4 linked regions of the Schizosaccharomyces pombe genome follow. The main gene of each other region encodes a partner of the protein of the gene in region 3 in a complex. Each region holds a gene or a part of one and is shown on either strand. Other genes may lie near its edges.

The links.
Region 1: fyv4 (region 3) and bot1 share a complex: the UniProt entries of both Schizosaccharomyces pombe proteins name them as parts of the mitochondrial small ribosomal subunit.
Region 2: fyv4 (region 3) and rsm7 share a complex: the UniProt entries of both Schizosaccharomyces pombe proteins name them as parts of the mitochondrial small ribosomal subunit.
Region 4: fyv4 (region 3) and mrps18 share a complex: the UniProt entries of both Schizosaccharomyces pombe proteins name them as parts of the mitochondrial small ribosomal subunit.

Annotation. Positions count from the first base shown.
Region 1 is NC_003423.3:2,230,999-2,234,792, reverse strand, and holds bot1 (mitochondrial ribosomal protein subunit S45), read left to right. Parts: upstream 1-1,670; 5' UTR 1,671-1,681; coding exon 1,682-2,629; 3' UTR 2,630-3,010; coding exon of another isoform or gene 3,011-3,187; 3' UTR 3,188-3,250; downstream 3,251-3,794. Other genes in the region: SAGA complex subunit Spt8, read left to right, coding at 1-710; SPOM_SPBC14C8.15 (triglyceride lipase-cholesterol esterase), read right to left, coding at 3,011-3,187, 3,251-3,794. UniProt on the Schizosaccharomyces pombe protein: Component of the mitochondrial ribosome (mitoribosome), a dedicated translation machinery responsible for the synthesis of mitochondrial genome-encoded proteins, including at least some of the essential transmembrane subunits of the mitochondrial respiratory chain.
Region 2 is NC_003424.3:3,518,214-3,521,501, forward strand, and holds rsm7 (mitochondrial 37S ribosomal protein uS7m), read right to left. Parts: upstream 1,629-3,288; 5' UTR 1,548-1,628; coding exon 1,014-1,547; intron 927-1,013; coding exon 681-926; 3' UTR 501-680; downstream 1-500. Other genes in the region: RhoGEF Scd1, read left to right, coding at 1-313; transcription factor TFIIH complex subunit Tfb1, read right to left, coding at 2,329-2,406, 2,450-2,993, 3,051-3,234, 3,280-3,288. UniProt on the Schizosaccharomyces pombe protein: Component of the mitochondrial ribosome (mitoribosome), a dedicated translation machinery responsible for the synthesis of mitochondrial genome-encoded proteins, including at least some of the essential transmembrane subunits of the mitochondrial respiratory chain.
Region 3 is NC_003423.3:3,431,822-3,438,022, forward strand, and holds fyv4 (mitochondrial 37S ribosomal protein mS41 ), read left to right. Parts: upstream 1-1,846; 5' UTR 1,847-1,904; coding exon 1,905-1,998; exon of another isoform or gene 1,999-2,048; coding exon 2,049-2,296; 3' UTR 2,297-2,406; coding exon of another isoform or gene 2,407-2,739; 3' UTR 2,740-3,006; coding exon of another isoform or gene 3,007-4,551; 3' UTR 4,552-5,687; downstream 5,688-6,201. Other genes in the region: U1 snRNP-associated protein Prp39, read left to right, coding at 1-153; autophagy-associated protein Atg5, read right to left, coding at 381-773, 845-1,019, 1,066-1,184, 1,271-1,369; SPOM_SPBC4B4.12C (uncharacterized protein), read right to left, coding at 2,407-2,739; plasma membrane pantothenate transmembrane transporter Liz1, read right to left, coding at 3,007-4,551; syj1 (inositol-1,4,5-trisphosphate 5-phosphatase 1), read left to right, coding at 5,732-6,201. UniProt on the Schizosaccharomyces pombe protein: Component of the mitochondrial ribosome (mitoribosome), a dedicated translation machinery responsible for the synthesis of mitochondrial genome-encoded proteins, including at least some of the essential transmembrane subunits of the mitochondrial respiratory chain.
Region 4 is NC_003424.3:4,966,426-4,969,394, reverse strand, and holds mrps18 (putative mitochondrial ribosomal protein subunit S18), read left to right. Parts: upstream 1-1,532; 5' UTR 1,533-1,638; coding exon 1,639-2,172; 3' UTR 2,173-2,405; downstream 2,406-2,969. Other genes in the region: gab1 (Pig-U family GPI transamidase subunit), read right to left, coding at 1-630, 858-1,249; SHREC complex subunit Clr2, read right to left, coding at 2,506-2,969. UniProt on the Schizosaccharomyces pombe protein: Component of the mitochondrial ribosome (mitoribosome), a dedicated translation machinery responsible for the synthesis of mitochondrial genome-encoded proteins, including at least some of the essential transmembrane subunits of the mitochondrial respiratory chain.

The sequences.
Region 1 (3,794 bases), 1.2 Mb from region 3:
GGGGTTCTGAATCGGACGACATGCGTAGTTTGTTCGGTACACCTGCGTCTTCCTCTTCTTACGATGCACTGTTTGATGAAGAGGTGGAAAAAGCCATTGAAGAAGAAACTAAATCTGTTCAAGCAAATGAGGAGAACGAGACAGAAAAACCCTCTCAAACCGAATCTACTACTAACAATGACAACATAAAAGCTCCTTCCGAATCTTCATCCGAAGAGTCCAATATTTTCTTAACGACGTCTATAGATGGAGTTATGAATGTATGGGACCATCGCATGGTCGATTCTGTTCTCAAATACCCCGTCCCCAAGGGTGTACCACCATGGGCTATGTCTGCATGTTGGAGTCCGGATGGAAATAATATATATATTGGCCGCCGAAATGGAATCGTCGAAGAATATAACATTCACTCTGGCAAGGAGCCTGTTCGCTCTTTAAAAATGCCTCTCGATTCGGGTCCTGTTTCAAATGTCTATTCGATGCCGAATGGCCGTCACCTTGTAATTTCCTCCTTTGATAATATCCGCCTTTATGATCTTCAAAGCAAGGCCGGCATAGGGTTCTTAATTATTCCAGGTCATCATGGAGGTCTTGTCAGTTCGCTTTATGTAGACACTTCTTGTCAATTCATGTTTTCAGCTAGTGGAAATCGAGGATGGCAAGGAACTACTACTGAAGTGTTCCTCGGATACCAAATAATGACTTCATAAAATGCTTTCTCTAAAACACATATTCGCAATAATGTACATTATGATAATAGACTGAAAGGAAGTGGGTTACGATTTAGTCGGTCAAATACAAAATGGTCTTTGAAAGGCACTTTGGATTTTGCCTTAGTAGGGTCAATTATATGCCTATTGTCGTTTAACTTTAAAAATCTTTTTGAATTGTCTCCCTTTCAACATTTGAAATAAACATCTCAGTTAAAGTTTTTAGAATAATTGTTAAGCCCATGCACTCTTCATTAGTTGATTGCTTTTTGGGTTTTTGGTTACTCTCTAAATAATTTGAGGTAAGTTTATAAATGTTTCCTTAAACCTATTTCCCCTTTTTTGCCGAATATAATAAACTTAGGTATTAAGCTGAGATTGTTGGTTATGAACTTTCTGACAAATATGATACACAAATCGTTTTGTTTGTATAACATGTATTCTAAAACTTTCCTCTACTTTAATTTTCAATTTGGAATTTCCTAATCAATTTAATGCCATCCATCCGCTTTATTATTTGTTGATGTGTCAATTGCCAAACAAAAATATCAAGGACATGCGAAACTCTTGTCTAAAGAAGCAATGACCGTATTTAATGAATTTTTTTCGTTTGATTCTGTAGAAATTATGACTTAAATTGTGTATTTATTTTTTAAGTATTGATGTGTATAACTGTTCGTATCCTAATATTGGAACTGACTCTCAAACATTCTATAGAATAAACAAAATCTTACTTTATTGCATACTGAGAGTTATTGTCTCATAAATAAATCAAGCGTCTGTATGTTAATCGGATCTTATAATGGAGCTAGATTGCTTGACCGCCGGAGGTTAAATTTGAGTTTTCCTAAATCGTCTCATTAATTATTGGTTTTTTGAAGTTTATTTTCTATATCTATCTTGATGAATAGAATTAGGGCGTGTTACTAACTTTTGGGGAGTGACACAAGAAACCTTTCCAACGCACCTAAATGAGGAATTCAGTGGAATTCTCACAGTTAGGGCTTAAAACGGCTTTTAATTTATCTCAAAATAAAACTTATACCTCAGCAGTCAAGAAACAATTCTTTAGTACTGGAGCATTTTTAAGCAATGGGGGAAATATTGATTTAAATAAACACACTCAAAAGAACATTGATTCAAAGTACGTTGCTTGCAACTCAAGATCTGTAACACCCCCAAATGATGTTGCTTCTTCAGTTTCTAAGAATACACTTCGTCATAAACAACGTTTAATGATGGCTCAATGGTTAATGTCTCCCGAAGTACAGAAAGCAAAGTCCTCATCATCTGGTAATGTAGGCTTGGGACCTAATACAAATCAGCCCTTCCCTTTAAACCCTTTTTTTAAGCCTCCTAGGCCTATATCTCATTCTTTGCGTATGAAAATTACCGATGAATACTTGCAGGGTGCAAGTATAGAAGTGCTTGCTCGAAAATTCAACACATCTCCACAAAGGATTGAAGCTCTTATAAAGTTGAGAAGAATAAATGATGAATTCGAAGAAAAAAAGAAGCCGATTCTTCATAGTTATAATGAAGTTATGGAGAAAATGCTGAACGCATGTACTAAACCTGAGATGATGCAGTTTAATGACGGAAACGATATTCCTTTGCGTTCCAATCCAGTATCCCTTTGGAAGAGTTTGCCTGAGGGAGAAACGTTTACACCTCAAGAGGCTGCTAAAATCCTGAAGTGGCCTTCGATTGAGGAATTAAACATGAGACAAAACGCTACTCACTTCCACAAAACATCTGATGAGCACAAAGATTTGAATGAAGATGAAGAGCTAATTTCTTCAAGCCCCAGCGAAGTTGGGAAGCGTGTTTTTAGGCTCATTGATCTTTCTACTGGTAATGTGTATAGAAGGGATACCGGCGGGGATATTTATGTTAAGAGAAAAAAATCTACTACCTGAAAATCAAGCATTTATTTCCCGTTTTTGAAAGAAAATTTACCCCCTTAGCATGCATTAGCGGCAGTACAATCCATTTCAAACTTTTGCGAAATAAAATCTTGAATTGTTACAAATTCACTCAGCAAATTCTTCTAGTTGTTGCATTATCTAAAAGTTATTTGTACATATAAAAATTGCATAGTTTTTTTTGCTTTCGTTGCCATATTGACTTTTTCAAATTAAACAAAGAAACTTTTTTTAGCCGTTTAATACAAATACTGATAAGAAGGGTTGCACATACGATGAAACAGTCTATACAACACTGTGCTTCAGTTTGATTTAGAACAGAAACTTATCTAACATATTAAATATACATTGTGCCAGTTTCAGAAGCGATGAACACTATATTGTATGGTTCATAACGCCGTCAACCAATTCTGTGTCAAGTCCAAATTCTTCTTTTATGCTTTCAAAGTAATCTCCAGCAATGACATGATTTAGTTGTTCTACGACTTGCTGAATTACTATGTCCTTTTTCGTATCTCCCATGATGATGTCGAGATGCTCATAGTTAGGAATCTTTAATTTTAACTTGTTAGTTTCCACTTAAGTAAATGAAGCTACAACTGTTTCAGAACATACCTGAATGCATTGAGATAATGGTGGAAGTTGGGTCTTGAGTGTTTCAATGTCCACCATGTTATCGTTACTGCCATAAACTAAAGTAATAGGTAGACGTATATTTTCAATCGGATAGCGAGCAATTCGGTTAAGATTTGTATAGTAACTTGGCTTAAATCCTGGACTGTCATCGTACATTTGTAATACTTTGCGACGCGTAATTTGAGCCCAATGTACAAAGCATTTGACAGAAGTAAAGGAATATAGATGGGAGTATGCAACGATTTTCTGAGTTTCGGAAATATTTTTTCCGGTCCAGCTCAGAAAAAAGCGAAGAAACAGATCAACAATTTTTGCAAAAACTGGCGGATATAAAACTGCTTGCCAAAACACAGCAGAACCAAGCATGGAATTTCGACCGAACATTAGGTAAAGAAGTTGGCTATTAGCGTGAATAATAGATTTAACGGTTCTACCACTATACTTTTTAGGAGCAATTGCAGGAGCTAGAGCAATAAATGCTCGTACGGAATTGCGAAGTTCAGTATCAATAGACAGCGCTGCA
Region 2 (3,288 bases), on a different chromosome or scaffold from region 3:
TCGAAATACCACGAATGTTAAAATTCGTCTCCGTTTACATGAGGTTAGTCTCGTCCTGGTTGTTGCTCATGATATAACATTTGATGAGCTGTTAGCCAAGGTAGAACATAAAATAAAGCTTTGTGGGATTTTGAAACAAGCTGTTCCTTTTCGGGTTAGACTGAAGTATGTTGATGAGGATGGCGATTTTATAACCATCACATCCGATGAAGACGTTTTAATGGCATTTGAAACGTGCACGTTTGAACTTATGGATCCTGTCCATAATAAAGGAATGGATACTGTGTCTTTGCACGTTGTTGTTTATTTCTAAACTAGCATTGTGCTAGCTGTACATTGTCAATTTAATTTATATAGAGGAAATTAACAGTTTAGTCGATGAACTAATTTACTTTCCCTTCTTTGTTTTGAAAAAACAACAATATACTTCATAGAAGATAAATTCTGTAGCATTTCCGTTAACTGAAAAGGAGCTGTAGAAGAATGTTGATGAATATTATGAAAGTTATTTTACAACCAAACTATAACCTCATAAACATGAATATGATTAACTGCGCACTACGTAGTATAATTGAGTTGATAACTAAGAGTAATCAATTCTCGATATACTAGACAAAAATAACATTACTAAAAGGGAATGCAATTCATAAAAAAGATAAAAATGTACGGAATTTTTGTTTTTATATACGAACGGGTGCATTACCTCTGTTAACAAGGCACATTCTGTGCAGATGATCTTTCTTTTTGAAACAATTGCTTGTCTTGCTCCTGATAGCAATGATTTCTTTAACAATACGATCTGATAATCTTTTAGGACTTGATGATTTACATTCACCGAGGATCCATTGTAACGCAATCCTTCTTCGCTGTCGCTCTTTCAATGGCATAGGAAATTCGACACTTTTGTTAAATCGCTTTGCAGAAACCTATCAAAATATTAGCAAATCCGTCTACACACTATAAAAAGAAATAATTCACAAAAAATTCCAAAATTTTCAATAATTTCGACGTACCAACTTCATTAAGGGAGAAATCTCAGCGATTGCTTGTTTCAAAACATCTATAGGATTTTCACCGGTTTCTTTTTGTATGATAGAGAGCGCTGTTGCAACAATCTTTTCAGCTTTAGCTTTTTTCCCATCTCGCATTATTAAATTCACCAAATGCTGTACTGTAGAGTCGACCTGAAATGGTCGATCTATTAACCCTACAATTGAACTTGACGGAGAAGGCCACAGATTTGTACCCATTAGCGGCGGTTCTTCATTTTCAACTTCAATTTTTTTCTCTAATTCACCCATAAAATCGTCGGAGGCAGACTGTTCGACAGAATCTTGAAGTTGATTCAGTAAATTTTCGAGTCCCGCATTATCCCATTGTGGATTTGAACGTTCATTGATATCTTCAATTTTTTCATTATATTTTTCATTTGAGGTAAATTTTCCAACTTGAAAAGTACGAGTCTGATGGATAAAAACAAGCGACTCTTTCATCAAATGTCCCGAACTCGCACATCGAAACAAAGGTTGCTTTATGAGTCGTAGCATGGCCCTTTATTGTTTGTTCTTTCTTCTTGAATGAAATTTTTAAAACAATTACTCTTATTAATCAAAGCATGTAGGAAAGCTAAGGTGTGCGTAGATGTTTAAGCTTAGTACATATACACTATGGATAAATGAAAGAAAAGGGAAGGGAACTAGGCGCTAGCGTGCTACATTTCAAAGTCGTTTGGCTATTTATTTATTAACTTGAAATAAGATAAATTAGGTAATCGATGTTAAAATATTCATCATTAATTGTGTATCCAAATTTAATACTTGAGCTAGACACAGTTTTATTGGGATCATACAGAACTGATACCTTGAAAGAAAGTAAAAAAAAAAGTTATATATAATATACAGAGAAGCGATAAATTGAAAAATTGTAAAAACAAGCATTTAAAACAAAAGAGAGAAATTATGGGACATTAATTAATTGAACATCAGTTTATAACATACTATATTCGTGTCATAAAACGAATTTTAATAAATAATAAAATCTATAAAGACATAAAAACATTAGATTTTGGCCTATGAGCACAGTAATCTAAAAACAGTTTTGATTGTCTTTTGAATCTATAAACCAAAACAAAAGTTTTTTAATTCAAGAGTTGTATAAACAGAAAAAGAGCCATATCCAGCATTTCAATGTTCATTTTTTCCAGCCTTTATGAAGAAAGAACATTAAGTCCAATAAAGAATATATCAATATATCATTAACCTCTATATGGAAAAACAGAAACAATTACCTTTTACAAGCACAATTGAGTTTCCAAAGACATTATCAAACCTAAGCAGGAGGATAAGACATTCGTCTTTGATACTCCGAGATTGACGTATCAATAGAAGTGAGCGTACAGGATACCAACTAATCCTAGTTAATAATCAAAATCTCTACAAAAAAAACTTACCTCATAAACCAGTTTTGGATCAACGTTTTGTTCCTGAGCCTGGCTCGCAATTGCCTCCACCCTTTTTTTCGAATTTAACAGAGCATTCTGAAGGGGGGCCATCGCCTTCTTGTCCGGGAAAGTTGTATTCAACAAGGCATTCCAAAATTGATGCAAAAATTCTATCGTAACGGTATGGCACAAAACAATTTCATTTTTTATGTCAATAGGTAAATTTGATGCAGTGCCGTGGGTCTCAAACTCATGCTTTTCGCGCATACTCTGAGTAAGCTGCATAGCGGCTTCAGCCAAAGAGTCAGAATCATGTTCAATGTGATTTAAGCTTATCGAATCTTCCTGGTATAAATGTTGAAGAGCTTCCAATGAAGGCAAAGGCTCTAAACCAACTTGATTTTTTGAGGGGACAAAATTATTTTCCAATAACTGATCTTGACCTTTGATTTTTAAGACAACTTTAGAGTCACTGGCTTCTTCTTCTAAATCGTGAAAACCAGATTCTTTTAAGTATGTTTCTTCATTTTCGTTGTTAAATCGTTTAGAGTTTCTACAAGTTGTTAGGCATACCGAAGCAATAACAATTAATAAAACCGAATATACATACCCCAAACTTTTTTCCAAAAGTCTTTCCGAAAGCTGATTGATGTTTTTCATAAACGGTAGAGCTTCTTTGTCAATTCGCATAGTGATATCAGGTCTAAGTTCTGCTATTACATTTGCATTTTGATCATTTCCTTCTAAATCAAAGAGGTGCGATGCAATAGGTTCATCCGATACTTTGGTTACCTCTTGAAAATGTTAGAAATGGAATTCATCTAGGTTGGAGAAATTACCTTCATTAT
Region 3 (6,201 bases):
AGTACTAGGCTTTTAAGCACTAACGGTCACCCTGGTATTTCTGTGAATGAAGCAAAAATCAAGTCTGGTGAATCTCCATATGAGAAATATTACCGTCTTCAGGGTGTTGTTGAGACAGTAACATCTGGTGTTGCTGCCAATGGGTCTTCATAATCTACGACTTCTCATTAAAAAGAAATTTTCATAGTCAAATTATCAATGCTATATCTCGTTGCATTTCCTACTTCTTAAAAAGCAGTTTGTTTAGGGAAAGGAGTACTCAAACGCACCTTAATGTCATTGTAAAGTCATTGCTAGACTGCATGGGTATACAAATCTTAAAATTATTTGTACATGAATAACAAATTATCTAAAGGAGCTAGAGAAGAGACGTAAATGTTTTAAACTTTCATTAAAACAATATGTAAAAACCCATCAATGTAACAGAAATCTCGATTGAGCTCGTCTAAAACGCTCTGAAGAAAAATTGTAATACCATGAATAACTGGTTTAACTATTAAGAATTTATCACATGATGGAAACAAGTCGGGAAGGCGTTTATTGAGAAACTCACCAAGAGAACTACCAAGAGGTGCAGAAGTTTGTATAATAGGAGCATTGGCCCCTAAATAAATTTTTAAAGGAATGAATTTGGATTTTGAAAAAAGTATTTTTATAGCAATGGGACGGAAATCATAGTAATCATGATTGAGTATTGCATTCCAGTAGGTGTCTGTTTCTGCCTTTGAAAGAGCGATTATTCCAGACGAACTTCCGTTACGAACGTAATCAGACTGTAAAAAGTTAATATGGATTTACCCCTTTTGTAAATAAATCATATATGTTTTTGTGATAGAGAACGCACCTCTTTTAAGCAGTTGAAAAAATATGTTCGAAAAGTATCCATGGTTTCCATTTGAAGTATTTTGGTTGTAGGAAATAGACCTGAGCGCAATTGAATGCGCCATAGCACCGGCGCTCGAGGAGTATCCGGATCAAACACTGTTAACAAATCGAAAAGTAAGCCAACAGGCCAATGCCTATATTATGATTAATTTACGGAAAGTTACTTTGGGTAAACGATACCATTTAAGAGGAACCCCATTATAATCCAACCAACATTCTGATAAAGGGATTGAAGGTGCCAACAGACGTTGAACATTTGGGAGTATTTGAGCAAAATATGATTGTCGCGGGACGTTAGCCTTAGGTAGAATATGGTGAGCAAAAAGGAAAAAATAAATTGAGTTAAAGAATATTAAATTACTACTTGAGTGAACAAATCACATACTAGATAGGCCAGAGAATTACCTTCATAATCAATGCGCACAGAAATAGTGCCATTCCAAAGGAGCTCTGGAATATTGCCTTTATTATTATCGACATTCATTTTTAAAAAACATCTCCAATACTGTGATTAGAAATTGTGCTTTTGTTGTATACTTAACAAACTCGTGGGTGGTTGGAATGCGTTGATAAATAGCTTAGAGTCAGACATTCACTATAATTAGTTAAATTAATGTTTTTACAATTAAAGTAAGTGGGCTTTAAATACACATAGTAGAGTCTTCAAAAAATTCACCCGAAAATATAACTGGTAATTTATATGTTCAAAATACGAGTTCCTGCTATACAAAAACCGCAATTAGGAATTTGTAGATTCACTGTATTGATTAGTTAATAGACACGTAATGACTTTTCGGAAGTAGAAGTTTGAGATATTCAAGGGACTTGAAAGTTTGCATGCAGTAAATCTCATAAAAGAATTAAAAGCAAGGATTTATATAGCTAATAATTGCAGGCACTAAGCTTGACATGGTCGCACTATGAGTCGCTAGTACGTTTGTGAGACTTTCGCATACGTTCCAGAAACTGTACACAACTTATTTAAACAACCAAATATTTTTAAAACAATACTGGTAAATATGTTGATCTTGAAGAGGATTTTCATTATAAGAAATTTTATATTTCCTTTTTCTAACTGCCGGTATGCCTCTACTGTTCCTAGTCCAAGATCAGGTATGAGATTTCAAAACATTAGTGCAATTTAAATTCCTAACAAGATTCAGGGATTTCTAATACAAATGATTTCTTTAAAAGAATTGGAAGAGATACTGCAGAAAAAGTGAACGGAAAATTCGAGTCTTGGGATGGTCTATTTAGGAAAAGTACAAAAACTATGAAAAAGGAAGGTATTGATGTACGTACAAGGAAATACATTGCAAGCCAAAGAAACCGATTTAAAGAAGGGTTTATAGTTAAGCCATATCCAGTTATGGTTAAAAAGAATGGAGGTGAGCGACGCAAACGTAAATAATAAGTATATGGAATATTATATTCTTTTGAGACATTCTTTCTTCTTTTTGTAGTTGAGTTTTTGCTTGAGTTCGAATTAATCTAAAATTTGCTTAAAATAGCCAACACTGTTCAAAGCATGTCTTTTCTCGACGAAGATGTGGAGCCTAGAACGCAAAGCCGATTAAACAATTGTCCATGAAACCATTTAGCAAATTCTGGAGAATTTTCCATTAGTGCGGAATTGGCGCTAGGGTATTGTCTCCCTCTTTCCAAGTTATTTTCATTTGTTTCGTTCACGGGCTTCCATTCCCACTCTCCTGCCCAGATTAATTTAGCTTCAATTTTTTCTCTAGTCCTAATATATAAAAAATTTTCTTTTAGCTCCATTAAGTCTACACCATCGCTAAATTCCTTTAGGACTGATGTATACTCAATAACTTGTTGATCATTGCCGGATACCATCCAAACTATACGTATAGTTGGTATTTCTATTTAATGGTTATAAATTTTTAACTTCAGCTGCACCTTAAATCGTTTGTTAGCAGATTCTTTTTGAGTATGTGTGCAAAGGTATTCGTTTGCGTTTGCGTCAAAGGGCTTGGTCAATTAGATGAGCCAACTGTGGTAAATTTTTATGTTAGGTTGATATCAATATGAACAGCAAATTTACTCTAAATGTGTACTTAAAGGCATAAGGAATATTTATACTATGTCATTAATCTTCTAGTACTAATCTTGGGCATTCGTTTCTTTTGGCATGGAAATTCGCTGTCGCGTTATCACAAGCCCTGGAGAACTAATTTCTTTGACCGCATTAGTTGTGTTGAGTGATTCCTCATCATTTTTGCCTATTTTTTTTAACTCTAAACTTTCATGCTCAGTGAATACATCATCGAAATCTTTTGCATCCTGGATGGATCGTTTAATTCTTTTATCGCGGATTTGCATGTAACTAACAATACAAGAGCTAACAAAGACTATTCCTCCTACCACCAGCAAACCAATTAATCCTTTTATAAATCGAGGCGTATCAGTATTGGGATACATTATAGGTGCCCACCAAATATGCCAGATATTCTGACACATATTCATCAAAAACACAACAACTCCTCTTTCCTGATCATTATCCCGGCAAATGTCATTTGCCCAAGAAAACCAAACTGCTTGTCCAGCATATGTACAACCAGAAGCGAAATAAGCAAAGAATTTTGCGCCATCTGGCACGTTCCATGCTAGAAGTATTGTAGCAGAAACAGTAGTAATTACGCACAGAAAAAGTCCAAAAGGCCATCTTGGGTTTCCAGCTAATTTATCAGAAATAACACTAGCACCTAACGTTGATACTACGCCAACAGCTGTAATCACAGTTGGGTAATTATTTATTTGGGCAACAGAAAATTTGTTGCTCCATTTCATCCACTGACCCATCAATACATTGACAGCTATAGCTTGTGTTTCTCCGCTAAAAATCCAAAGGATGCACAAACCGTAAATTCGCCATGAACGTACAATATCCTTTATCGCTTTTAGCGTTAATGGCTTCTTCTTGGGGCGAGCGGGTAGCCTTTTGAAACTTAATTCTTTTTCTTGTTCTGTAAAATAAGGAGCCTTGGTTGTTTCTGGAACGTCAGGAAACAGAAAGAGCCCATATAATGAAAGAGGAATCGTCAAAATGCCATCAATTATAAAAAGCCAACGCCAACCAGATAAACCACCTTTACCATTTAATGATGAATGAACTGCTGTTTGCAAATACCCAGCAAACATTGTGCCGACTAAACCAGAGGCTGAAAAAATTCCGGCACGTTTGCATAGTTCACTTTCTTTGTACCATGCGCCCAATATATAATGCGTACCAGCAAATGTAGATGCCTCCGCAACCGCCATGAAAAAGCGTAAAATCATCAATGCTCGAACGGAATGTACCGCAAATGAAAAAATCGTCATAAGTCCCCATAAAATATTCATAACCGAAAACCAAAGTCTTGCTGGTACTCTCTGTAATGCATAAGAACCTGGCAATTGTCCTATAATGTATCCACATGTAAAAACAACGTTTATATCTTGCAATTCATTACCATGCATTTTCAAATCCTCTTGCATACCACTAAGGTATGCATTGTTTATTGATGATCTATCCAAGTAATTAATAAAATATGAAACGCAACAGTAAGAAAGTATGAACCAATCTATTTTTATTAAAAGCTTTTGTTCAACTTTGTTTAATCCATAATAAGGGGAAAAGGTTTTTGCCAACCTATTTAGTAACGCCATTACGACTTGTCTCACTTATGAAATATTCACGACAATTTACAGAGGAGACCTAACTTAAATTTTTATGGCTTTAGAAAACGTACAATTTCAATGGATTCTCATGAAAAGTGCCTATATTAAAGTAAAGCCAGGGACCTAAGCAAGGAACAAACACTTCGAGTCAAAATCGAATTGCAGACTGTTGGAATATCAATATGCTCCAGCCAGGAAAATTTTTTCTTTAATTTTTCTGAAAAATCAAGATTATAAGTATCGATCGAGCCTTCTAAAAAGTGACAATATCAATGCCGGAAACCCAATCTTAATTTTTAGATGTGCGCTGATTACTCGGAATTGGCTAGCAAGTTGGATACTTATTCTCGACGTAGCCACAATGAGTACTATACTTTGCTGCTCTATTTGTGGAAATTAACTGTATTGCAAAAAACATCTAACCTTTCAATTAATAAGCATTCGGTTCAAGTGGCTACAATACAATAACCACTATTTGCGAGATTAAACATACTATTACAGTAACCAACACATTTGAAATGTAAAAAATTGCCATAGTTGAAGCTATTCAGCGTCAGCGAACATCTTCGGAGAGCTCAAATAATCTTAGCTCTTAAGATGGGGGTTTTTTCTGCCGAATACTGTATCTGTTTGACTTTTATTTTTAATACGTTGGAGTAACCGCTGTATTCTTGTGCAACTTGGTGTTTTTGAAATTAACAATGGCACTGTTGATGAACGAAAGTGAATTATAATACATTTTTTGACAGTACCAATCTTATGGAAGTGCCTTGAAATCCTGTTACGTTACGTTTTAGCAAGATCGCTTCTCTTATGATTTTCTTGTTTCAATGGTTTTCTACCCATAATCAATGAAATATGTTTACAAGGGTTACGAGTTTTGTAAAGCAAATGCACTTTAAAAATTGACCAGAAACTTCCATATATTAGAACCAAAATTTTTTGGAATACATTTTAACATAGTAAATTAAAATAAGCCGTTTACTTATTCTAATTTACAGAAGCGCTTCTATAATGTTTAAGTAACGAACGTTTTTGTCACCCAACACCACCCAACTTCGTATCCCAAGATTTATAACTTGTTCGGACAAACATCGTTGGTAAAGACTTGCATCGTTCATTACAGAACGAATTTTATTATTTATAGTTCACATTTGTGAATCTTAAGATGCAATGTCTGCTGAGGGAAAAGCCAAGATCCTTGGCCTTAGTCAATAAGGACCATGCTCTTATGTTTCATTCGGTTCCTCAGAACAAAAACTCTTTATCAGTATGTGTTGCAGAATTTACGGCATTGTCAGAAAAGCCGTTAGAAGGATTTCGAAAAATCTCCAGTCATCGAATTTATGGTACTCTAGGTCTGATTGAATTAGAAGGGTCCAATTTTTTGTGCGTGATTAGTGGAGCTAGTGAGGTAGCACGTGTGCGAGATAAAGAAAGAGTTTTTCGTATCATGGAGGTCTGCTTTTACAGTGTTAATCGTTCAAACTGGGATCACATTCGACAAGAAAATTACTCGCCTGATATTCCGGATGGTTACGATACCGATACCCAAGGCTATGATTCTTACAAGTATGCCGCTGAACCATTCAGTAGTCTCAGAAAGCTATTAACAAATGGATCATTTTACTTTTCTCT
Region 4 (2,969 bases), on a different chromosome or scaffold from region 3:
ACAATAGCATTATTTGTAAGCAAGCTATATCGCATTCGGTCTTGGACTTTATTAAAAATTGGGAGGAGAGATAAAAATATTGAAAGATCACAAATACTTGGGTAAGCTTTGAATAAAGAATGCAGGCCAATAAGAGCAATAGTAATAGGCAAGGGCAGATAATAAAGACGGATCGAAACAGGGAGAACAAACATCAATGGTAAAATGGCAAATACAAAAAGGAAGAATGTGCGAAATTCATTGAACATTTCTGTAAAAAAATACCACCAGAGACCCAAATTCGGAGTTAGATCATGAGAGTCCAAGTATACCCTAAATGGAATTTTCAAAAAAGATAACGAGTTCAGAAAGAAGCCTGAAGTTATTATCAGACCTGCAAGATAAAAAAGAAAAACAACGAATATCTGACGAAATTTAATGGATGAATTGCATTTTCTTAAAATAAGATAGGAGGGGAAAAATAACAGTAAAGCGTTAGGATTAATGAATACAGTCAATGCCATACAGCATGCATAAATTGCATAGGATCCGCAAGAGGCGAAATAAATGGTCATTAGAGTGGTGAAATTAAGTATCATGTCTGCGGAGCAAGCAATTCCTGGAAGAAATGTTAATGGGTTAAGCAGATAACTAAAGTAATATTTTGTTAGTAAATTTTGAGTTAAGGATACTTGTTTGCGACACAAATATATCACAGAAGTACACATTTTCAATATCGACTACGAAATCTGTGTAATCAACGCAGTTCAATCTTTGAACAGTCATCGTTAACAATTTTGTAAACCAACGATACAATGCTTTTCATTTTTTTGAAGAATGTCTCACTTTTTTTGTCGCAAGCCATATGCGTAACTTACATGACGGAAATCCATAATGGTGAACAAGTAGATAGTACTTGATTTGGGTCTAAAACACGAGCTTGTTTTGCAATTAAATACACAAAGAGACCTCCCATAGTAGAAATGCTAGTATAAACAAATCTGGTGACAGATATTCCTCCAAGCAACTCACAACAATAATTTAAGATCAGTAGAAGTGGAGACTGATAGAAAACACCACCAGAATAGGGGTCTAGTCCGTTTTCATACAAGTAAAGTCCTTCACGAACACGTAAAAATCCGGATACAGGCGTCGATACTTCGATTCGCCTGTAAAGGAATTCAGCAATCCAAGTGTTTGCTAAATACCATTGAAGAAAAAAAGAAATTGATAATAAACCTAATAGTTTTAGCTTCTCATTTGGTATCATTGCAAAATCTTCACTGTTCAAAAGATGGGTTATATTTGTGTTTTCAATTCACCAATCTTCGTTTAAATTACAGTCGTTGGGTATCCCAAATGATCCGTTTGAAAAACTTTTAAGGCAGCCACCAAAGTAAGATTTTTAATTTTTTATTTCTTTATTTTTTCTTTAAAACGAGAAGAGTGTTTTAGGTTAATATTTACACGTTCATACCACTACCACAGGTTGAGTAACATAAGTTACCTGGTATAGAAATTATGGTATTGAAGCACTCGGTTACTTACAATTTGTCATTTTTCATTTCCTTTACATTTTCATCCATATTTTTTAGTTCTTTGATTTTATTTTTGGTTTACAAATCGGTTCTTAGCAAGCTATTTTTCATCAAATATCTAATGCTTAATTTAACAAAAGTTGGACTACGAAGATTTTGGAGCCAGAGTCCTAGGCGGAATGCGCCCAAAAAGGAACTCTCTTCTCTTTTAGAATCCACAATCACTCCAAAAGCTTTTTCAAAAAGGACGGAGGAGCCAAATCCGATTATGCAAGGTACGGATACCATTCCAATGCCATTTTACCTTCATGCCAAATGTTTGAAGAACAACACTCACATTACACTTTGTTCTCCTGAAAGAAAAATTATTTTTAGGGCCTCTGGAGGAACCTGTGGTTTTCGTAAAGGAAAGCGCCGTGGCTACGATGCTGCTTATACCATTTGCTCCAAGGTGCTGGAACAAATCCAAGTAAAGCGCCTTGGTATTGAAAATTTGCATGTTATATTTCATGGTTTTAGTCAGGCCAGGGAAGCAGTACAAAATTGTTTATTAGGGCAAGAAGGTGCCGTAATTCGAGACAAAATTGTAAAGGTTATGGATCGAACACCTATTAAATTTGGAGGACCGAGAGGTAGAAGGGAGCGACGCATATGAAGTATGTTTATATTACTTTTCTGTTTTCTTCGTTTACGTAATCTTCCTGTGCAGTTAATCTGCTGCCCAACATTGTTGGTGCTTTTCCACCGTTGTATTTGACCTTCTGAACTTAGAAATGATTTATTAATACCGGTGTGATAGTGCAACATGATTTCTTAAAAAAAACTATATCCCATCTCTAATTCAACACAAATAGTTTTTACCTATCTTTCTCTGTAATTTATGAAATGCAAAAGACATTATTATTCCCATATTATTTACATTATAAATAATGACCGTCACTGATCAATAAGTAGACACTTCTATATCTAATTTTATCTGCCATACTTATTACATTACAACTGCTGACACCATATCAATTTCAGACAGTAAATATTCATAAAAATCGTCATCGACCCAATTTTCAGAGCCTACTGCTGATAATCGACTGGATGTGCGTTCTTTCACTTCTGAAGTGTAATTTAAATCTCCTTTTACGAACCAAGGCTCATACCATCTTCCCAAAACATCTGCGAATGGGCAGACGTACTCGACAGATTTATCATGCAGGCAACGAAAATATGTGTTTGATAGTTTTGATACCATTTGTAATCTTCTTGGTAATTCTTTTAAGTCATCCTTATGTTCATCAATATTGTCAGCGCTGTCATTATAATCGAGTGCATTTTTGTCAATTTGTGTCCATAGTGAGCCTTGGAAACAGACAATGTCATCTTCGTTTACATAAATATCAGATATGTACATAAAACTTGTTTTTTGAAGTACAGATGGCAGTGAAGATGTGGATATAACAC